Lonchura striata: one gene and its partners. The protein of the gene in region 3 purifies or fractionates together with the protein of the main gene of each other region. This does not show direct contact. Links are inferred from orthologs where the notes say so. Each region holds a gene or a part of one and is shown on either strand. Other genes may lie near its edges.

Region 1 (7,166 bases), on a different chromosome or scaffold from region 3:
TCATAGGCTCTTCGAGACATCAGTGCTACAATGTCCTTATCCAGAACAGTCATTTTGAATTTGGACAGATCAGGTTGGAAAGTGACACAGGTGTAATCATCTCCATCAAAGTATTTCAGCTTCATTTCTCCAGCCTTTCCCATATTGTCTGTCCACGTCTGAGGAAAGGAACTTTGGTGACTTTCAAGTCAAACACACACATAACTACCTTAGTCTTTAAAAGCAGTAAGATGGTTTATGTGGTTTAGATATCTTTGAATTAAACAAAAACTCTGGTTAAAAACCAGATTCTGATGCTGTCTGCTAATTTCTTTATTCCTTTGAATTACATTTTGTGGGTCAAATTTACTCTAATCACACTGAACTAGTTTTGAAACAAAACCTTAGGATCTCATTTGAAAACCTCAGTTATAAACTCCCTGGAAAGAAAAGTGCTCCTACCTGCTTGAACAACTTTTTGTATTCACGACATCCAGTTTCCACAGTAAATTTTTTGCTGAATATGTTGCACAGTTTGGCTCCATAACCATTTCTCCCCCCTGGAATTAGAAGGAACACAGACTTGTGTTATTCTCTTTGTCCAAAACCATCTAAGAGAATCCAAGACTAACTGGAGTTTGTCAATGTCCACCCAATTCTAAGACAACTGTCAAGAAGCAACAATATTCTACAAGCTTAGTATGCAATTACAAACTTTGATTTAATTAGGGTTTAAGAGAATATTCAAAGACCATTTTCCCTGTTCCCATGTTTGCACTGTTGTTATGTTAAACAGAGCACATAGACTTCTCTGATAGATTCAGAACATCATTTTCATAGAATCATAGAATAATTTGGTTTGGAAGGAACCTTAAAGCCCATCCAGTCCCACTATTTGCTGTAGGCAGGGCACATTCCACTAGCCCACGTTGCTTCAAGCCCTGTCCAACATGGCCTTGGACACTTCCAGGAGTGGGGCAGCCACAGCTTCTCTGTGCCAGAACCACACCACCGTCACAGAGAGGAATGTCTTCTGTATATCTCATCTAAATTTCCCCTTGTTCAGTTTTCAGACTGCATTAAGGACTCCCTTCCTGCCCTTTCTAGTTCAGGTCACACACTTAGAGCTGCTCAGAGGTATTAGTGCATACCAGAGCCTTCCTCACCTGTGACTTTCTTCTCATTGTCATCATAGTTGCTGGATGTCAGCAGCTGTCCAAAGATCATAGCAGGCACATAGACCTTCTCCACTTTGTGTTCAACAACTGGGATACCTTTCCCATTGTTCCACACACTGATTGTGTTATTCTCTCTGGGGAGGGAAAGAAAAGTCTGTTTTTAAGGCTGCAAATGGCTGAGCTGTGAAAGAAGTCACCAAAAGGCTCTGAGGAAAAGGCACCATTTCACCAGGAACAAATGTGTGCTCAGCAAGTGCAGCAGCTGCCAGCAGAGGGGGGACAGGCAACACAGAAATGCCCAGATCTGCACATGCCGGCTCTGAAATGGACCCACACACAAAACCCCCCTGTCTGTGCTCAATCAGGGTGAAAAGAGAGAGGAAGAGGTGGAAAACCACAGCAACGAAAGAGCAGCCATTTCCCCAGTCAGGCCTCTGTAAGAGACCAGGGGAATAAGCACAGAGAAAGGCTTTCCACAACTGGTGAATTAAATTTGGGCTATCTCAGATCAGCCCCACAGCCCTGCAGTGCCACCTCAGCTTTGCAGAACAGCTGAAGGCAACCAACAACAATGAAACCAAACTTACACATCAATTGTGACTTTAATGCATGACATGTTTTTATCCCTCTGCTTGTTGTCTGCAGCATTCACTAGGAAGGAAAGAGAATATTTTTTTTTATTACATTCTCAATCAAGGGAAAATGATGAATTATGAAGTGTTCCAGTAGAATGAACATAAAAAGTCACTACAGTGTTGCTAATAATCATCTCAGCATGAAAATATTTTGCAAATTACAAAGAGGAGTGCAAGTTATCATGGAATTATGAAGGTTGGAAATGACCTCTGAATTCCTTCAGTGCAACCATTGACATAAAAAGGAGAATTTTGGGCAGGTTTGTAATTAGATTTTTGAAATTTTTCTTTGTTTCAAATGAATGGCTTGCTATTAAGCAGTGCTAATAAGTTCTTACTAATTTATATCCGTTAATAACCCGTCATTCACTGACTCAATGGATGTCAGCTTACCCAGAATCTCATCAAAGATTTTGTACAAGCCAGGCACAAAGGTCACATCTCTGCAGTTGAGGCCAACGCCTTCATCAAAAACCCACATTTGCTGGGAAAAAAAGAAGGAATCTGTAAGTGCCCAGATACAACCCCTCTTCCGTGCGCATCAGTTTGTAAAGCAGTTGTTTTGTGATTGATAAGCAGATGTTTTGTGCTTTGTAAACAGCTGCTAAGAGCTCCCCGCCTGCCCCGAGGTGCTCGGGGGGCTCAGCCCCGCTGCCCCCTGCTCCCACCTGGGTGACGAGCTCCACGGAGCCGATGTAGGTGTCTGGCCGGAGCAGGATGTGCTCCAGCTGCGTCTTCTTCTGGTAGATGTGCTCCACCGTGAGCTTCTTGGGGCCATCGGCCTTGCCCACGGGGATGTTCTCGTTCGCGGGCTGTGGGGGAGAGGCAGCGGCGGTGAGGGGGCGAACAGGGACAACGCATGGGGCCAGGCCGAGGCGGGGAAGAGCATCGGAATCGCGCAGGAGCGGGAGGGCTGGGAAAAGAGCCGAGAGAGGGGCCTGCGGATACCCTGAAGGAGACCCAAGGAGGGGGCTGAGAAGGACCCGGGGAAACGCTGAGGGGGGGACAGGGCGAACTTGCGGGTGCCCGGCGGGGCTGAGGGGGGCTCGAGGGGACGGTATGGAGGCGGATCACAAAGCTCCGCAGGGTCGGGGGCAGCGGTGGTGGCAGGACGCACCCGGAGAGGTGACGAGGGCTGAGAGAGCTCCATGGCGGCGGCGGCGGCGGCCAGAGCGGCTGAGGCGGTGATGGCGGCGCCAACGACCCTTCAAACCTCCGCTCGTCCCGCCGAAACGCGCGGCCAATCCCCGCTCGCGGCCCCCGGCGCTCTGCCAATCGCAGTGCGGGGACGGGCACACGGCTGGAACTCTGCCCGCCCTCTGACCTATCAGAGGCCGCACCGCGCGTTCAAACCGGCCAGTCGGGAGGGAGAGCGATGAGATGGACAGCAGGATGGACCAATAGAGAAGCGGCAGGGAGGGTGCCGGAGGTTCCCGTTTGCCGTTGGTGGTGGGACATACTGGGATACACTGGGATACACTGGGACACACTGGGAACCCCCGGACACACACTGGAATACACTGGACAGACCCTGTGGACCCACTGGGGTACTGCTACACACTGGGCAAGCCCCAGGGATTCACTGGGACCTATTGAACTGGGACACTGGACAGACCCATTGGACATGGGATACTGGGCAGACCCTGGACATGCACTGGGATACATTTGGAATCACTGGGTTTCAGTGGACAAAATGTCCCAACCCCTTGGACACCCACTGGGATACACTGGGAGGGCCTCAGGAACCCACAGGAATACACTTAGCAAGATTTGGCTGGGATATACTGGACCACACTGTGTTCTGAGACCAAAACAGACCTTGCTGACATGCAGACCTGTGCCAGGGTGTCCCCTCCCAGTTACTGCCAATCCCCAGGGGACTAGAGCCTGCTCCCAGCCCTTCCAGTCCCTGTTCCCATTCCCGGGTGTGTCCCCTCAGTCCCTTGCTGCCATGTGCCCCCAGAACAAAGCATGGTGTCATAAAAACCAACATTTTTGTATCTTTATTTCTGGGTGGTGACCGTGTTGACTCCAGTGGGTTTAGGAGGCTGGAGGCACAGCCTAACATTGCCCCATGGCACGGGGATCTGTGGGATGGCGCAGCTGGAGCTGGGCATGGCACAGTCTGGTTGCACACCCGGTGTCCCCTCAGTGCTCCGACACAGCTCCGACACCTCCCATGGTGCTCCCGGGGACATTCCCCAGCCACACAGGCCTGGAAGAATGCCTGGAGCTCCTGCTTGCGTGTCACCATTGTCACCACATGTGCCGGTAAGGAAAAGCCACCTCGATGCAGAGCACGGCCAGCGGTATGGAGCAGTTGTGGCGGTGGCCGGCCAGCAGCCGGCCCTCGCCCAGGGCAGTGGCCATGCCCTCGGCTGAGCCAGAGCTGCGCCAGCCCTGGCAATCCCACCGGTGGGCATGGCCACCCCGTGGCGTGGAGCCGTGCCAGGCTAGCCGGTGGGGCCTGTGGGTGGGGACAGGGTGAGAGGGGCTGGGGGCACCCTGGGGTGCCCCAGCTCTTTGCTCCTGCACTTCTGCAGGGTGGGAGCCAGCACAGACCCCCCGTTCCAGCTCCCACACAGGGCCATCCATCCAGGACCTGTCCACACTCACCAGAGGGGATCTGCCAGGATGTTGCGCCCGTTGAAGGAGTAGATGGGACTCTGCAGGACAGCACCAGACTGACCCCCAAAAAGGGAGCTCCAGGACTTGGCCAGCAGCTGCCCCTGTGGGCACGAGCCACGGTGCTGAGCCAGGGGCCAGGAGAATGCCCCTTGTCCCCAGCATTGTGTGGGCAATGACATCCTCTCTGCTCTGCCAGCACCCCAAATCCCTGAGCACGGCAGCAGGACTGGGTGGGCGTCCCCCACCCACAGCAGCTCACGGGGGCTGTGAGGCTGTGCCACCCCTGGGGACGGGGTACCTGCCTTCAGGTTGACAATGGGGAGGCTCCTGTCTGTCCGCTTGACGATGGACACCAGGTGCTGGCTGGGGGCCGACAGGAAGGCCCGGAAGGTGCCGTGGAGCCCGGCCTCCTGTGACTGCCGGTAGCACTGCAGGTCAGCGCCCCGGATCCCGCTCATGTCACCCCACAGCGGCACGTTGAGGGCAGCCAGGCGGAGCTGGGGGCGGCAGGGAGGAATGGAGGTCTCTGCTCCTCTCTTCTCAGAGGGTGTGAGCCTCTGGCAGTGCTGGCCAGAATTGGGGGTCCCCTGGGTACCTCTCCCCCCTCTCCCATGACTGGCTGTTCATCCCCACCCTGGGGCCAGGCATTCCTTACAGATGGGATCCGTGGGGCTGTGGTGGTTGGCAGAATCTGGGGCAATCCGTGTTCCTCCTCCTTCTGGATCTGCAAAAACACAGCTCAGATCAGTCTGGGGACACGCATCCATGTGCCATGACTTGGGGGCACCCTCCCCAGACCAACACAACCCCATGTTCTGCTCATGCTGAGCTGGCACTGCCCTGCTGACATCCAGCCCATGCTATGCACATCCCTCCCAGCATGGCCAGACCCTCAGCAGGGCTCACCAGTGAGTCTGTTGGAGACTGCATGAGTGACAGCGTGTTGGGACCTCTTGGCTGCACCCTCTTCACCTCCTGGATGGAGAGGTGGAAGAAGAAGGAGAAAACAGTCCTGTGAGGTCTGTCCACTTCATCATGCAGACAAGGGCTCTGTCACCTTACAGGGACATGAGTGGACCCAGCAGCTCCTGCACCCCTCACCTGGTACTGCGGGGTGGAGGCAGAAGGGTCATCACCAGCCAAGAACGACTTCGGATCCTCCAGCTGCTCAATGACACAAGCAGAGGGACAGGTTAGGGGAAATCCTCTCCTTCCTGAGGATCTGCTGCCCTAGTGCCAAATCCAGCCCTGGATCCTGCCCCCCTAGCCCTGCCAGGGACCCCACACGGTACCAGGAGGCGGCTCCAGCCAGCGGGGGTCCGGAGGAAGGCGTTGCTCCCTTCCCGCACATAGACCAGGCTCCCCTCGGGCACAGCACTGCTCGCCTTCACCATCAGCTCCTTGGACTTGAAAACCCACGTCTGGCGCTGGGGGAAGGCAGAGGGTGAGGCTCCTGCTGTGGGGCACGGGGCAGCTGGGGGGGGTTTGCCTGGGGCCGCAGCCTGGACGCACCCGGAGATCAGCGCGGGAGTCCGATGGCTCTGTCTGAGGGGCACCAGCATCTGCAGAGCCCAGAGATGGTGGGGGGTCACAAGGTGTCCCAGCATAGGGCCTGGATGCTCCCATGGGAACTGGCCCCACAGGGATGCGGTGGGAGTGGGTGGGAGAGCCAGCAGTGGTGCCAGGGACCCGTGCTGCACGGTCCCGGCACCCAAGGAAGGGAGGCAAGACTTTAGGAAAAGTGTCTCCAGGGAGGCTGCAGCCCCCAAAACACCTGGGAAACCTCCTCACCTGATGGCCAGCTGCGATCTGCAGGTGCCTGTGAAGGCAAACAGAGTCTGTGTCTGCTGCTGGGCACAGGGAGAGGGACACCCCTCCTGATGCACAGGGAGGAGATGGGGACACTCTTGGGGCAGCGAGGCCGTGGCTTACCGGCTGCTTGCAGGGCTGCTGGGCATGCACGGGGTGCATCCTCTGCAACCAAAGACAGGCAGGTTTGGGGGGGCCCTGGTGCTGTGCACACTCACACGTGTGTGTGCTCTGGCACAGGCGTGTGCACACCAGTGCTGGGCCTTACGTTGAGGTAGAGGAGACCTGGTGGGCCAGGGGGGCCGGGGGGCCCAGGGGGACCGGGGTTCCCAGGGGGACCTCGAAGACCCTGTGGTAGAGCAGTGTGGAGATTGAACTTGGCTGTTTTGGTGCTGCCGTTCAGGGGGGCAGCTCTGACACCCAATTGATGTCCCCCACGCTTCCCACTCCTGTCCCCTCCCAGGGCTCAATGTCCCTGGCTGGGGCAGCGCAGACCCCGGCCAGGCAGGGACTCTCACATGAGGGATGATCGCTCCATAAATCTCTGGTTCATCTTTCCCATCCTGCAAAGGAAGACTGAGATTGATCTCCATCCTCCCTCTCTCTCCATTTTCCATTCTCCCCCTCTCCTTCCTCCAACCCCGTCCCGTGGGGTTGCCAGTGGGGTGAACCACGTCCCCAGGGCTGGGCTGGGGTCCCTGGGCACCCCTTCCCCTGGCCACTCACCGTCTGGTACCTGTTGATGGACCCCCATGAGCCGGTGCTGGGGAAGGGGAGGTGCCCTGGTTTGCACCCGTGCTCCCCATAGCAGCACCCCTGGGTGAGCCGCAGAGAGAGGCAGGATTAGAGTCCGTGCTGAGTCTGGGGGGGGTCTGGGGTGTGCTGGGGATGTTTATGGGTGGCACAGGTGTGCACGTGTGTGCCCCGTGTGTGCCAT
Region 2 (7,576 bases), on a different chromosome or scaffold from region 3:
TTATGAGTGTACAATCCATGTTATTTTGTGATTATTGCAACTCGCTCACTGTTGCATTCCTATTTTTGTGAATAAATAACTGGTGTTTTCTGCCAGTAAGGCAAATCCACAATAGTTGCTGCTATAGAGCACTCATCCCAGAGCTACAGGAACACCACTGCCAAGAATTTAGAAGACTGGAGATGATCAAACATTTAGTTTTTAAATACAACTACTCAGAGGCACCAAGACACACTTTTGATTAGCAGATCTGTGGGAGCTCAGTTTGAAGATAAGTACTGGCTTTCATATAAGAAAGGTATTAAAACACAAATAACAGGCAATCAAGTTTCTTTCTTCCCATCCCCACTCCCCCACACAAGCACTTAACAAGCTGTTTGTAGAACTGGCTGATAGTCCAGCTATCACAAACCAAGGGATTTCTATGGAAACCAGTAAATTTCAGTTGTGTCCTGTCATGGTTTGATAATCACTTCTGTATTTGAATGAAAAAAATTACAAGGGCAATGGAAATTACAGATATCTCACCTTCAGAATTCCAAGAACCTCTGCCTGCTCTCTTTCTACAGGAGAGTGTTAGGAGAAATGCACGCTCTACTTCATTGATATAAAATGAAACTTTTAAGACAGGAAGGAGTGAAAGAAATAGGATCATCCTGATTTGGCAGAAAAATAAGAACGTGATTGACGTTCCTATAAAAATATATATTCATTTCAAAAACATATATTCATTTCCTATTAAAAAAGCTTAGACACGGAATCATAATTATTATTTACAAGGTGTTTCTGTAAATCATCAGTTTAGACTAGTCTCGTCTAAACCAAGCAAACAGCAATATTAACTACTGGATGATGAAAAAATAAGTAATTTTCCAATTTCTTTTAATGTTTGGGGGTTTTTTGTTATTTGTTTTTATGTTTTTAATGATATTAGGTTTAAAAGCAGCTGTAGCTCATTTTTAAAATGAAAGATATTTTGAATTGTTTTTACTTCCTTCAGAACATTCTCTGCACTTTTATATAATAATTCAGAACACTAAACTCTACTTTTTAAATTCATTGTTTCATGCTTTCTACTGCAAATGTAAAGAAAAAATGTATTACAGAAAAAAATTGCATGTTTGATCTAAACTATCATGGAACATCAGATATTAAAAGCACATTGCATGTGGTTTCAAGTATAGATTTTATGAAAAGTCATGAAACAACCCAGTTAAGCCTATTTTAGAAGATTTAACTAGAGCAGCTTTTTATTTAAATAGAATAAATGTTGTGGAACTGTACCTAAACTTAGAGACTGACACTGAGTTCATTTAATTACACAGCATAAAGCACATGCAAGTTTCTTTCATTTCTGAGATACAATCTAATAAATTTATGGTACCAGGGAAAAGAGTTGAAGCATAAAGCGTAAGAATATAAACACAGCATTTGAGAAATAACATTACTCTGCACTCAAATCAAGGTTAGTGGCAAAATCAAGAGCTAACTGGCAGTGCATTCAACCTGTCCTGAATATGTGGTTAAAAAAGACTTATAAAAAAACCCTAACATTTATCATTCAGCAACCTCAGAATCTACACAGATATTAGCCTTCCCAGCTGCACTGTGGACTCTGTTGGCAGAATCAGTATTGCTGGTCTGCAGCTAGAGAAAGAAAAAAAAAATAACATGTATAGAATTAGACAATGGATTATTCATACAGAAATTAGAGAAGGAGGAGAGCAGTTCACAAATTGTCCTAATGCTACCTTCAAGGTATACCAGGGACTCATATGGAAAAGGATGGAGCCATAATGCACGTCTCCCAAACACTTTGGTTAAGGCTCCTCACTCTTCAAAAGCCCCATCTCAAAACCACTGACTCTTGGCTGAAGGCAACAAGAAAAAAATATTTTAAACCCCTGTGATGTGTCTGAGGAAGTGGCTGAGAAAGCATTACTCTAGGCCTAAAGAAAAAACCCTCCAACTCCCACTCCCAAAGCCTTAGCCTTACTATCTTTGGTCCTAGGCACCTTCAAGAAAGAAACATCCTGAGTCACGGGAGATTTTACAGAAATAAGCAGCATTTTATGGAGTATACAGAACCAGCTCTAGGACTGACATCACCTTTCTGTAGAAAGGAATCCATGAGCAGCACTGAACATAGCACTTAGTGCAGCCTGCTGAAAGCCATTGTTTAGTATTTACTCGAGTTCTTGTAATTTCTACATTTGCCTCCAAAAGTTCCCCACACATAAAGACTCGTGACATTCCTGCGGTAAGACAGAAGCCACACGAGAGCATCAAAGTTAGAGAACGAAGTAAACAGCACATCACGGCATTCTTTCGGCAAGAAAAAAAAAAAAATCTCAGGGGGAAAGAGAATCAAGAGTGGGGAGGGAGTGGAGAGAAGCTGGTTCCTCAAGCCGGCAGCTGCTGAAGCGCCCCGGGGGCTGCAGAGAGGGGACGCTGCCATCTCCCTCCAGGACACAGCCCGAGCCGAGGGCAGACCAGCACCCGCAGCTGCGTCCCTGAGCACCACCGCGACCCCGGGGCCGGGTTCCGGGGAGAGACAGCGGAGGCAGAGCCTGCCGCTCCCCGCGCAGCCCGCGGAGCCGCGGCCGGAGCCGGCGGCGAAACGGCCGCCCCGTGCCCGCCCAACCCGCCAGAAACCGGCCCGGCGCCGGGGATCCGCGCTCCCCCGCCCCGAGCGGCCCCCGGGCCCGGCAGCCCCGTCCCCGCGGGGGCGGCCCGGGGAACAAAGAGGCGGCGGGAGACAGCGCCCGAAGGAGCCGCGGCCGCACTCACTTCCTCTGGGCCTTGTCCTTCTTGGCTTTGGTCCGCTTCTTCCGGGCCTGCAGCGCCAGCACTGAGGGAGAGAAGGAGAGAGAGGCGTGAAGGGCGGCGGGCCCCGCGGGGGCCCCGCGGGCCGGCGGAGGCCGCGCCGCGCTCACCTTTCCGCTCCATGGCCGCCACCGCCCGGCGGCCCCGGGCGCCTGCGCTGCGCCCGCCGGGCTGGGCACGCGCGGCTCGGCCGCCCCCGGTGCGGAGCCGCCCCCGGCGCGGAGCCGCCCCTGCCCCGCCCGCCCTGCGCGGCTGCGGCGGCGGCTGCGGCGGCGGCTGCGGCGGCGGCGCACGCTCGGGGCGGGGCGGGCGGTGCTGCCGGTAGTGCCGCGGGGCGCGGCGCGGGCTCCGTTTGGCACCCGCCGCCGGGGCCGCTCGGGGCGTGCGCTGGCCGCCCGCGCCCGCCCCCCGGAACACGAACAGCGGCCCTTTTCCCTGGGAGGAAAACTCGCCAGCCCGTTCCTGGTGTCGGTTTGTAGGGTGCGCTGGCACTGTCAGGGCAGCACCAGTTTGATGTAGGGGCAGCTGGGGTCTGGGACACATCCTTCGATTTTCGGATTTTTTTGCAGTCAGCCACCCCCTCTGGGCCATATGCCCCTGGGCAGAAAGACCAGCCCTTTTCCCTGTGAAGGAAAACTCATCAGTCCAGGTTCCTGATGTCAGTTTGTAGGGTTTGCATGGGACTCTCAGAACAGCACATGTCTGAGGTGGTGGCAGGTTGTGTCTGGGACACATCCTTCGCCCTTCAGATTTTTGCAGCCCACTCAGAGCCACAGGCCCCTGAGCACAAACAATGTCACTTTTCCCTGGGAAAGAAAACTCCCCAGCCGAGGTTCCTGATGTCGGTTTGCAGGGTTCCCTTGGGACTGTCAGGGCAGCCCAAGTTCGAGGTGGTGACAGGTTGCATCTGGGACACATCCTGCACCGTTTGGAATTTCAGGAGGTGGCCATGATCATCTGCATGTCTGAGGATCTGTTTCTTCTTGTTCAGTGCAGTGGGAGAGCAGCCTGGGTTTCTGCAGCAAGCCCTGCCAGGAAAGCATCGTGTCATCCCACCAGATGGGAAGAACATTAGAACATTGCTGCATGCAAAACAACTGATCTTGTTGCAACTAGGTCAGGTAAGAACTTCAGGCTGCTAACAAAAATAGGCCTTTAAACTCTGACTTCTGTGGATGTTTAGAGGTATAGGTGGAATATTTGGCTATAAAGCAGGTGCTTTGTCACTTCACAGCCCATGTCCAGGGATTTGTGCTTGGCTGAACACAGAAGCCTTGTGTGTGTATGTGGGAGCAACATTATGGGGAAAAAGATCAGGATTGACTGGACTTCCTCTCAGCAGGATATTTGTTTTGCAGCATGAATACCCATGACTTGCATGCTGACATTCTGATGTCTGATTTGTCCACTGGTGCTAAACTCTGCAGTCATTGCAATAGGAAGGGAAGATTTGGAACTTTGCTGAACAAGAGGAAAAAAAAAAAACCTTTTAAGTTTTCAGTGGAGACCTTTCATGGTGCCAATAGCTAGGAATCCATTTCATCTTAAATCAAAGCTGTCATAGGAGAGCCAATAGAATCTGAAAATTAGGGCTATGCCTTTCATGGGTTTTACATTACTCATTTTGAACAGAGCTGAGAGAAGCTTGGCATGAAGCCACTGTCCAGAACAATGTAGGGAAGCATATGTGGTTTGAGAATTACTCAATACCATTTGGGCCTTCAGTTTTTCCTGTCTTTCAGTCCAAGAAGATCCAGGATTCAGTTTTCTCTGCAGTTAAGAGACTCTACACAGTCTTCTTGAAAATCCAAGTTCATATCTGGATATAACTCTTAGCCAAGGGTGGCCAGAGTGTCAAGGTGGTCAAATGCAGTTCCCATAACAAGGTGACACCACCTGAGCAGCGAGAGGGCCCTGCTGGCATGGGAGCACAGGACAGCCCAAACCTCCAGCCCTCGAGGAACTGGGCTCACAGGGACTGCTGGAGGTGACACCCCTGAGCTGCTGTGGGTCCCTGCTGCATTCCCAGGCAGCCTCACCTCAAAGGGGGCTCCTGTGGAAACAGTCACCTCTGTGAGGGTGCTCCCCACCTTCCTGCATTAAAGGGAGACTGGTGAATATTTAGTGTCACCTTCATTCTTTGAAGCTTTTTCTATGGGGGAAGAGTTTGAAAGGTCAATATCCTTGCATTAGACTATTTTGTGCAATGCCAAGGTGAGGGAGTTAAACAAGTGGTTTCATGAGCAGCAGAAGTCAGGAACCCTGCTTTCCTCCAGATTTGGGGAGGGTTTTCTTCTCCTTCTTGCCTCGTTCAGGTGTAGGACCCCAGCACAGGATGATTACCCAAGACTGGATTCTTTCCCTAGGTGGGACAACTACTGGAATATTTTACTCAGAACAATTGCTTTTCCTGGAATTTCCAGCCACCTGCCCAATTCAAACTTGGCTGAGACAGCTACCAAGCTTAAAAATTATTGCAGAATACTGACAGAAAAGGCATAAGCTCCAGTTCTTCAGGAAGTCAAGCTATCTCTGTTTTTCACTTCCCCCATCATCCCAAAGACAGCTGGTGCAGTAACCTCTGGAAATAAAAAACTTGGAGCTTTTGCCCTCCGCTGGCAGGATTCTCACTCTGTCAGAGAAATAAAAACAACAACAACAAAGTCATTCCCTCCTGCAAAACTCAACAGGATGCTTCTCCAGCTTGCACACAAAGATGTCTTTGCCCAAACAGGAACACAGGACTCAAAGCAACAAACTGGATTATCAATCCATTACATTTGTGAAAAAATGGAGAATTCAAAAGGGGATCTACCCAGCCGCATTTCCTCAACTCCATGACAATATTTAAGTTACTGGCAGGATAATTTAACGTGAAGGCTTAAATGTCAAGCCAAATATTCTACCTTCTGCTGTTCAGCCTGACTTCAGCAAGCTGTTCTGCAGTAGATTCTAACTCACCCAACTTTCTGCCTGTCCAAAGCAGCCACCTGTGTCTCTGCAGTGCTCTTGTGTGGCCTCCTGTGCCCACCAAGGTTTGCTGTGTTTGCTCTCTGCAGGCACAGGTGTTATCCCAGAGCTGGCACACACCATCCATCCCAGGCAGGCACCTCTGTGCCCTTGCATGCCACTCAGATGAATCACAAATGCTCTGTGTGCTGTTCACCTGATAGCTGGAGAAGCACAGAGCACTGGATACATCAGTTGCTTGACCTAATTAACACTGCAGAAAAAAGAGGGGATGGTATTTTGATTCCTCCTGTTCTGACCTAGAAGAAAACCACATAAACACTGCATCTGGGCAGCAAAAATTAACAAACCTATCCCACCTCCCCAAAATGAGACAAATGTTTCCTGAATTAAATTATTTAGTGAGTGGGTTAAATCAGGACTTGACCTACATGATATATTTCCCATGTATGTGTTTGAATCAAAATTTCCAGTAGCTAAACTCTGACTAACCCCACCGCCCAGTGCTCCTTCTTCCCCCTTTTAATTCCTGGCATGTTGGTGATTTTTTTTTTTTTTTTTTTTTTTTTTTTTTTATTCACAACCCAAATATAAGTAAGGCTTTTGACATCCCTGAACTGTGAACAGTGACCGTGGGGACTCACATTAACATTACAGAGCTGTGTCCCCCTCCATAATTTCACTGTCAGGGTGGCTCTGCTGACAAGTGCATACAAAATGGAGAACAGAAAAAACACATGAAACAGGGAAGTGGCAAAGAAACAGGGAAAAATCATGAGGAAGCAAGGCAGACATTTTTCTTAAACAATGAGCTGGAGGAAGAAATAAAATATATTTTCTTATTAGACAATGCAATGATAAAGTTTCCAATAATATTAGCAAAATTCTGCCTTTGAATTCTGGGCAAAACTTATTGTATTACATCAGGTAATTTTGGGTGGACAGACTCTTAACTCTACATCACATGTCACAGTTATACACGATTCAACTCTTGCCATCAAGTGATTTTGTTTCTCTGACTCCAGAATTTCATCCAATCTCCATCTTAGATTTTTAAAGATATTAAATGACAGAACAGAAGGCTTTTGCACAATGTAAATGATCTCACTATTACAGAAGGTAACCTTGTTGACAAGTCTTCATGGTTACTGAGAAAACAACACCAACTCAAACTACAGCTCTGTTTGCCTGCATTTATCACCTGAAAATTCCTTTACAGCAGTGTAAGCTGGACAAGACCCGTAGTTTCAGGCTTCAGTACCACACGTGGCTAAGCTGATGAAAGAGCTGGTTATCCAGAAAGAGAAGCCTGGCTCCCCTGCTTTCCTTTCCCTGTGTGGTCCTGTCCCTTTTGGCAGCAGCAGGCTGATAGATTAGCTCACCACACCTTGGAGAACCTCACCCAGTGGCTCAGTCTTGAGTCTCAAGCCTTGTCCCCGTCTCAAGAGAACAGTTTAAGTTTCAGTACACACTGAAACAAAGCCCAGATAAATGATGAATAAGAGATTCTGTGTTTACTTTCATAGGAGGACTTAGCAGAACAGAAAAAGCCATAACCACTGAGAGTCCAGACTAGATCCAAAAAGAGATTCAGAAAGAAAACTGCAATATTCATAGTCAAACCAAACTAAAACAAAGAAACAAAAGCACAATCACTGAGACCTGTTTGTTCTGATACCACAGCAGGGACTCCAGCATTAGATTTACTGTCTTGTACACATACACATCCCCAGCCACTCCAAACCACAGCAGGGCGAGGTGTGTCTGACATCCTTGAGCA
Region 3 (7,960 bases):
TGCACCCCAACCCTGCCCGTCGGCCCCCCAAAACCACCCCGCGTCCCCCAAGGCTGGACACGGGTGGGTGCTGAGAGCCACGGGTTTATTGGGGGGGTGCAGCCCCTGGCATGGGGTGGCAAGGACAGGGAGGTGCTTGGGGGGGGCACCCTGGGGACAAGGGACAGGGCTGGGGCACCTCGTATGGACACTGGGGACACTGGGATGTACTGGGACAACCTGGGGACAGTCAGATGCTGATGGGGCTCATAGGGGGAGCACTGGAGACTGGGTGGGCAGTAGGAGCCCGACGGGGGTCCCAGCAAGCCCCTCACCAGGCCGTGGGTTGCCCCACAACGAGGTGGACAGGCGAGGGGCTGCCCCATGGCCCCCGGGGCTAGAGGCCGAGGGAGAAGGTGCCCGAGTCGGTGGATTGCTTGTCCCGGGAGCAGGTCCCCAGCGCCCCGGGGGGACAGGCTGAGGGGGTGGCAGGCACGCCGGCCTCTGACACCTGTGGGGCAGGGGACGGGCACTGGGTGAGTCACTGCACTCAGGGGGGCCGATCGAGCCCCCCGGAGGTGTTCCCATCCCCAGGGCACCCTGGCCCCATGTCTGACCTCCTCGAACTTGCGGGCCTTGTAGTGCTCAGCACCCTTGAGGAAGTTGAGCAGGATGATGTCGCACAGCACCGTGCCCTGGGGGCAGCAGCGTTGGGGTGGGGAGGCCCCACACTGTGGAGTACCCCCAGATCCCCACAGAGCCAGGCCACTGTCACCCTGCAGCTGTGCTCTGTCCCCATGCCCCGTGGCCATGGGATTTCACCACTCCGGGGCTGAGAACGTCCACAACTCACCACACCGATGGAGGTGAAAGCAGCCACCGTGTTGATGAGGGTGGGGACGATGCCAAACTTCCCGGCCTGGGGGAGCAGAGCCCTTGTTGGCCGGAGTCCCCGACCCCCTGTGACCCCACGAGTCCCCGACCCCACACGTACGCTGCCATACACCAGGACATCAAAGCGGATCCCAAAGGCCTTGATGAGGGTGCGGCGCTGGGAGCCATCAGGCCAGCGGTAGTATCTGGCATGCCTGCAGTAACATGGGGTCATGGGGACACAGGGACATGGGGACAGGAGCCATGCCAGGCAGTGCACATGCCTGTGCCGTGTCCTGGCCATACCTGAAGTTGTATCCAGGGGCAGGGGTCCGGGCCAGGCTGTCCAGGCGGGTGAAGGAGTAGTGGGGCAGGCAGCGCTCCCAGGCCCGGTCCAGGTCACACACCCACCCGATCTTGATTCCCAGCACCCCCCCCTGCCCCAGCCCCACATCAGCACCACGGACCCTGGCCCCGCGGCACCAAGTCCCCACAGTTTCACAGTTCTGCATCCCATGGCCCTATGCTCCATGTCCTATGAGCCCACATCCCGCATTCTCGTCTCCCCAAACTCCACATCCCCCTGCACCTCATGTCTCAAATCTCCATGTCTGTACACCCCATGTCCCAGTGTCACACATCCCAACCCCCATCCATGTTCCTGTGTCAAAGCCCCACATCATCACTCAGTGTCCCGTTTTCCCGTATCCCTATGTCCTGTTCCCAACATCCCTCATCCCTGCATCCCATGTCCCCATGTTATGCGAGCCCATGTCCCCATCTTCCATGTCCACATCCATCACCCCATATTCCCCCCATCCTATGTCCCCATGTCCCACATCCCATGTGGGATGTGTCCCCAAGTCCCATGTCCTCAAGTCCCACATCCCATGTCTCTGTGTCCCCAGCCCCCATATCCCTATGCCCTTATATCCCAGCTGCTTGTACCCCTATGTCCCCACACACACCCCATTCCCACCCCGTGCCTCCCATGTCCCCTGTGTCCCCGCTCACGGTGGCAGCCAGCGCAGGGAAGTCCTGCCCAGCCAGACGTGCCACGTCCCCCAGGCGCAGGATGGGGCACAGGGGCTGCAGCTGTGGGTGGAAGCGACACCGGCCCAGCTCCACCCCACTGCCAGGGGGTGGCAGGTTGGTCCTGGGGACACAGGGGGACACAGGGGACACGCAGGGATGTGCCATCAGGCAGCAGTCTGGGGTTCATGGACCCACATCCCAATGTCCCCCCACCATCTTGTGCCTGTGTCCTCATGTCCCCTGTCCCCATGTCCCTGTGTTACCCCATCCCTTGTCCTCATGTCCTGCCGTGTTCCCCCTGTGTCTTGTGCCACTCACTTCTCAAAGCCAAAGAGCGGGAAGCGGACGCTGTTCTTGATGAGGAGGGTGAAGTTCTCAGCTTCCAGCATGACGGGGCTAGAGGAGGGGGGTGATGCTGAAGACAGGCAGGGGCCATGTCCCCTGCTCCTCCCCGTGTCCCCCCAGCCCCACTTACACATCAACGGTGTCCACCTCGGGCGGGCACCAGCCCTGGATCTCGCAGGTGCGCAGGGTCGTGTTGTAGGGGACGCAGCGCCCTGTCAGCACCCCTGGGACCCCCGGACTGCTGTCAGCACCTCTGCCAGCACCCCCGAGATCCCAGACCCCCATCAGCACCCCTGGGACCCCCAGACTGCTGTCAGCACCCCTGGGACCCCCGGACCCCCATTGGCACTCCTGGGACCCTGAACCCCCGGCTTCCCGGGCCCCCCTCAGCCCCTTGAGCCCACCGAGGGTCCCTCACTCCTGGTGGTGGCTCCCCCCGGTCCCTCGGCCCCCTCAGCCCCCGTTCCCACCGGGGTCCCTCACCGTTGCTCGTGGCCGGGCTCAGCTCCCGGCAGTCCCGGTCCGCCGAGCAGTGGAACGCGGCTTCGCTCTGCGGGGCGGGGGTCAGCGGACAGGGGGCTCATCGAGGGGTCCCCCCGAGCGCCCCCTGCCCCTCCGCACCTCCGGGCACACGCCCTGCGCCTGGTCCTCGGTCCGGATCTGCTTGGTGACCACCACGAACACCGAGGTGCCCTGCGGGACGTCGCTGTCACACGACCCGCCCGGGGGTGGGGAACTGAGGCGGGGGTGGCCCCGCGCCCCTCAGCGACCCCTCCGGTCCCCGTCCTCACCTGGGGGGGTGTGACATAGTCGGCTGTGTCCATCACCTGCCCCGCGTAGCGACCCACGCCCTTCACCTTGGTGACCACGGAGGACTCGATGGCGGTGTCCCGCACCTGGTACGCTTTCTCATGGAGGAACACCCAGCTGGGACAGCACCGCGGGTGACGCTGGGGACAGCCATCCCCGGACACCACCGGCACCCCCCGGGCCCCGCCGGCCTCCCCCGGCACCCCCCGGACCTGCCCGTGACCCCCGGCCCCCGGAGCTGTCAGCGCCAGCGGCTGCCGATCCCCGACAGATTCTTGTCATCCCCTCGCCAGTGGCTGCTGTCACTCCTCGGGAGCATCCAGGGACAGGGACCCCAACGCGGGTCATCCCCTTCTGTCATCCCCTGGGGCCGAGCGGCTTCTCTGCCGCTCGGTGTCACCCACACTGTCCCTTTCCCGTCATCCACCCGAGATGCTGTCCCCCTTGTGTCACCCGTAACGACACCTTGCTGTCCCCATCATGTCACCTGCGCTGCCACCCTCCCGTCACCCGCACCGGCACGCTCTCTGGCTGTCCCCCTTCTGTCACCCGCACCGATATCCTCTGTCCCGCCTTGTCAGCCGGTACACTCCCCTGGCTGTCCCCATCGTGTCACCCGCTCCGGCACACCTGAATTCCCGGCACTGACACTTTGTCACCCGCTCTCCCGTCCGTCCCCTGCTCCATCACCCCCTGGCCACCCCGTCACCCCGCGCCGCCGGCCGGTGTCCCCTCGCTGTGACCCCGCTGCCACACGCCGCCATCCCCCATCACCCTTGTCACCCCCGGTGTCACCTGCAGCAGCAAGTGGCAGTCACGGCGCTGCCGCGGTGCCGGGAAGGGGGCTCGGGGTTGTGTCCCGGGGGACGTGCCGGGGCGGGGTGTCCCAGGGGTGCCCGCCGGTTGTCCCGGCGGCTGCCAGGGGGGCTCACCCGATGAAGTAGGCGAGGATGAGGAGCTGGACGCCGCGGTTGACGACGCCCACCACCCAGCTCTTCACCACCACCGACTTGGTGGTCTCGTAGGAGAAGAAGTTGCTCACCCAGCGGGTGCTGGACCGCGGGAGGGACATGGGCAGCGCGGGGGGCGGCCGGAGACGGGGTTACGGGCAGGGCAAGGCAGGGCTGCGGGCAGGGCAAGGCAGGCAGGGCTGCGGGAACCCAGTGGGATGCGGGAAGGGCAGGGCAGGGGTGCGGGCAGTGAGGGGGATGCGGGCAGGGCAGGGCGCGCTTGGGTGCAGGCAGGGGTACCGGCAGGGGCACGGGCAGGGTGCGGGTATCGGCAGGGTGTAGGCAGCACCCGCAGGGGTGCGGGTAGCGAGGGCGGTGCGGGCGGGCGGAGGCGGGGGTAGGGCGGGGGCCGGGGGCGGGGGCACGGCCCGGGGGGACGGGAGGGGTCGCTCCCCCGTTCCTGGAGGGATGGAGGGGCGCAGGCGGGGACATTCCCCGGGGTGCCTGTGATGGGGAGCGCCAAAGGGGGGACACATTCCGGCAGCGGGGAGCCCCACATTGGGGTGCACGTGGGTGGTGCGCCCCAAACTGGGAACGCCTGGTTTGGGGGGGACACCCCTGCAGAGGGGAGTGCGAGGGGGCGGCCCGTGCGCGGGTTCCGGGGGTGCCCCGCTCTGGGCCGCCCCATTGTCCGGTTCCGACACTTTGGGGCGCCCCGGCTTTGGGGCGGGGGGGTTGTCCCCACATGAGGTGACGTCACGGGGCTCGCCCCGTGCTGGCCAATGGGGTCTCTCCCCACGCCTGGTTCTGGGCGGGGCAAAGCGGCGAGGGGCGGGGTCTCGGACGCGGTGACCACGCCCCCTAGGTGGGCGGGGCCGCCCGCGGCGCGGCGGGGAGCGCCGCACGGGTCCGCCCCGCCGCCAGGGGGCGCCAGCGCGGCCCGGCGCCATGGCGGAAACCCGCGCGACTTCCGGCGTTGGCGGCCCCGCGCGGTTCGCGCTGCGCAGGCGGGAAAAGCGGCGGCGGCGGCGGCGGCGCGGGGGGGCCGGGTGGGTGTACCGGGGCTCGGGGCCGGCCGGATCCCGCGGGGGGCCGGGTGGGTGTACCGGGGCTCGGGGCCGGCTGGGGCACCCGGAGTCATGGCAGGCCGGCTGGGATGGGGGAGCGGCCTGGGGTGGAAGTGGGCTGGGGGTCGCTGGGGAGGCCCGGGAACGCCTGGGAGCCCCGGCTCGGCAGGAGTTTGTGGGTGCGGGGGTGGTTTGGGGTGGCCTCATCAGGGAGGGGAAGGGCAGGGGTGATGACACAGCGGTGGCCGAGGGCTGCAGGAAGGGGCGGCTTTGGGACCACGGCACAGCCGGGGAAGGGGCGAGTTGTGCCGGGGGTCGCCCCCGTCAGTGAGCCAGGTGCCACCACGAGAGGCAGCCTGCGGGGCTGAGGCGGTGAGGTTTGGTTTTGGGGGCGCTGGGGAGGGCCGGGAGCCTGTCGCCAGCCCGGCTCACCCCCTGTCCTCCCGCAGCTGCCGTGACTGACTCCTCTGCCGTTGCCCCGGGCATGCCGGGCTCGGGGGGCTGCTGAACCCCCCGACTCATCCCCGTCCCCTCCCATAGCCCGCAGCCGCCATGGCTGATACGCTGGAGTTCAACGAGATCTACCAGGAGGTGAAGGGCTCCATGGTAAGCGAGAGAACATGGGGATGGCCCTAGGGGCACTTCCAGCGTTGGGTGTGGATGGGGGAAGTGAATGCTCTGTGATGAGGAGGGTGTGGGAGATGAAATTGTGGCTGGTTGGTGGTGTGGGTGCCTGGAGGGGCGCACCCAACAGGGCCATGGTTCCTCTATGCTTCCATGGGACTGAGTCCCCTCATGCCCAGCTCTCCCACAGAATGATGGGCGGCTGCGGCTGAGCCGGCAGGGCGTCATCTTCAAGAACAGCAAGACAGGGAAGGTGGACAACATCCAGGCCTCAGAGCTGGCTGAGGGTGTGTGGCGGCGCGTGGCACTGGGCCACGGCCTCAAGCTGCTCACCAAGAACGGCCACGTCTACAAGTATGACGGGTTCCGGGAGTCGGTGAGTCCCTGTTCCCTGCTCCTGCTGCCCTGGCCCTGTTCCAGATCCAGTTGTGCTCCCTGCCAGCCCCAGAACAGCCCTGCCCCCTGCATCCCCATGGCCAGGGGCTGTGTGTCACCTGGGGCACTGGGCACTGCTGGTTCCTGACGGTGTTGCCTCCCTCTTGCCCAACCCAGGAATTTGACAAGCTGTCAGATTTCTTCAAGGCCCACTATTGCCTGGAGCTCGCAGAGAAGGATCTGTGTGTGAAGGGCTGGAACTGGGGCACAGTGAGGTTTGGAGGTGAGTTCCAGTGGCACCCCAAAGGCGTGGGGTGGGATGTTCCCACCAGTGTGTGGCTGTTCTGCTGCCACATCCATTCCCTTAGGAGCAGCTGCTTTCTAGGGATGTCCTCAGGGAAAGTGAGGACATTTGCCATCTCAGGAGAGCCCTGAATACCAGGGGGCCATGCTTGGTGTGGAATCTGCACATGTGTGCCGTTCACCAGGGAGCCAGGGGAGCTGGCGGATGTGCCTCCAGCTAAGGGACCGGGACAGATGGGGTCAGACAGTTCCTTTTTTTGTGTTTCTGATCGGTGCCAATTTCCAGGGATGCTGCTGGAAGGGAGAAAGCCTGGAGCTTTTGGAGGGTGGGAATGCAGTGATGAGAACAGAGGCACTGCTGGATTTTGGGAGAGGAGCGAGGCCGTGGCTGGAGATGGGATTTGTGGGGCACAGCTCTGGGCTGGCTGTGATGTCCCTGTCCCCACAGGGCAGCTGCTGTCCTTCGACATCGGGGAGCAGCCGGTGTTCGAGATCCCGCTCAGCAACGTGTCCCAGTGCACCACAGGCAAGAACGAGGTGACGCTGGAGTTCCACCAGAACGATGACGCCGAGGTCTCACTCATGGAGGTCCGGTTCTACGTGCCCCCCACCCAGGAGGATGGTGTGGACCCCGTGGAGGTACGTGGGGCCGGCAGGAGGGTGGGGGTTGGCAGCGAGGGACCCTTTGTGACCGCTTCCCTGGCAGGCCTTCGCCCAGAACGTGCTGTCCAAGGCGGACGTGATCCAGGCCACCGGAGACGCCATCTGCATCTTCCGGGAGCTGCAGTGTCTGACGCCGCGCGGGCGCTACGACATCCGCATCTACCCCACCTTCCTGCACCTGCACGGCAAGACCTTCGACTACAAGATCCCCTACACCACCGTGCTGCGCCTCTTCCTGCTCCCGCACAAGGACCAGCGCCAGATGTTCTTCGTGGTGAGTGGGAATGGCTCAGCCCTCCCCCAGAAGGGCATTGGGGGTGGTTTGGGGGGTTTCGTGTCTTCACCTCCTCTTCTCTTTCCAGATCAGCCTGGACCCCCCGATAAAGCAAGGCCAGACCCGCTACCACTTCCTGATCCTGCTCTTCTCCAAGGATGAGGACATCTCCCTGACCCTCAACATGAATGAGTGAGCTGCCTGATGCCACACTGCTTCCCAGACCCCTTGCTGGATCCTGAGGGAGCTACTTACACCCCAGACCCTGTTCTCACCTCTGCCCTCCTTCCCGCCTCACAGGGAGGAGGTGGAGAAGCGCTTTGAGGGGCGGCTCACCAAGAACATGTCCGGGTCCCTCTACGAGATGGTCAGCCGGGTGATGAAGGCACTGGTGAACCGCAAGATCACCGTGCCCGGAAACTTCCAGGGGTGAGCAGCTGCAGGGCTAGTCCCTCTCTTTCCACCTCGTCCTCATGGCCTGAGGGAAGGGGCTGTCTGTGTGATTTGTGCTGGGGAGCAGGGCCAGTCTGCCAGGGCTGGGCACGGGGAGGATGTTTGTCCCCATGGATAGAAGCGTTTGTCCTGCAGACACTCCGGAGCCCAGTGCATCACCTGCTCCTACAAGGCCAGCTCAGGGCTGTTGTACCCGCTGGAGAGGGGCT

The links. The genes of interacting proteins can lie anywhere in the genome.
Region 1: the proteins of SSRP1 (region 3) and TOP2A fractionate together in Homo sapiens (co-fractionation; 3 studies listed by BioGRID and IntAct, with this or other methods). This does not show direct contact. The link is inferred for Lonchura striata from reciprocal best matches to the Homo sapiens genes SSRP1 and TOP2A.
Region 2: the proteins of SSRP1 (region 3) and SRPK1 fractionate together in Homo sapiens (co-fractionation; 3 studies listed by BioGRID and IntAct, with this or other methods). This does not show direct contact. The link is inferred for Lonchura striata from reciprocal best matches to the Homo sapiens genes SSRP1 and SRPK1.

Annotation. Positions count from the first base shown.
Region 1 is NC_134627.1:6,903,403-6,910,568, reverse strand, and holds the start of TOP2A (DNA topoisomerase 2-alpha), read right to left. Parts: upstream 3,011-7,166; 5' UTR 2,943-3,010; coding exon 2,910-2,942; intron 2,605-2,909; coding exon 2,461-2,604; intron 2,277-2,460; coding exon 2,186-2,276; intron 1,809-2,185; coding exon 1,745-1,808; intron 1,292-1,744; coding exon 1,146-1,291; intron 540-1,145; coding exon 442-539; intron 159-441; coding exon 1-158. UniProt on the Homo sapiens protein: Key decatenating enzyme that alters DNA topology by binding to two double-stranded DNA molecules, generating a double-stranded break in one of the strands, passing the intact strand through the broken strand, and religating the broken strand.
Region 2 is NC_134632.1:4,661,383-4,668,958, forward strand, and holds the start of SRPK1 (SRSF protein kinase 1), read right to left. Parts: upstream 3,011-7,576; 5' UTR 2,950-3,010; coding exon 2,937-2,949; intron 2,852-2,936; coding exon 2,791-2,851; intron 1-2,790. UniProt on the Homo sapiens protein: Serine/arginine-rich protein-specific kinase which specifically phosphorylates its substrates at serine residues located in regions rich in arginine/serine dipeptides, known as RS domains and is involved in the phosphorylation of SR splicing factors and the regulation of splicing.
Region 3 is NC_134608.1:53,181,434-53,189,393, reverse strand, and holds the start of SSRP1 (FACT complex subunit SSRP1), read left to right. Parts: upstream 1-4,955; 5' UTR 4,956-5,041; intron 5,042-5,508; 5' UTR 5,509-5,611; coding exon 5,612-5,665; intron 5,666-5,873; coding exon 5,874-6,059; intron 6,060-6,235; coding exon 6,236-6,341; intron 6,342-6,809; coding exon 6,810-7,000; intron 7,001-7,067; coding exon 7,068-7,298; intron 7,299-7,386; coding exon 7,387-7,490; intron 7,491-7,598; coding exon 7,599-7,727; intron 7,728-7,886; coding exon 7,887-7,960. Other genes in the region: P2RX3 (P2X purinoceptor 3), read right to left, coding at 377-490, 597-674, 833-898, 974-1,067, 1,159-1,289, 1,867-2,008, 2,206-2,283, 2,363-2,456 and 4 more. UniProt on the Homo sapiens protein: Component of the FACT complex, a general chromatin factor that acts to reorganize nucleosomes. The FACT complex is involved in multiple processes that require DNA as a template such as mRNA elongation, DNA replication and DNA repair.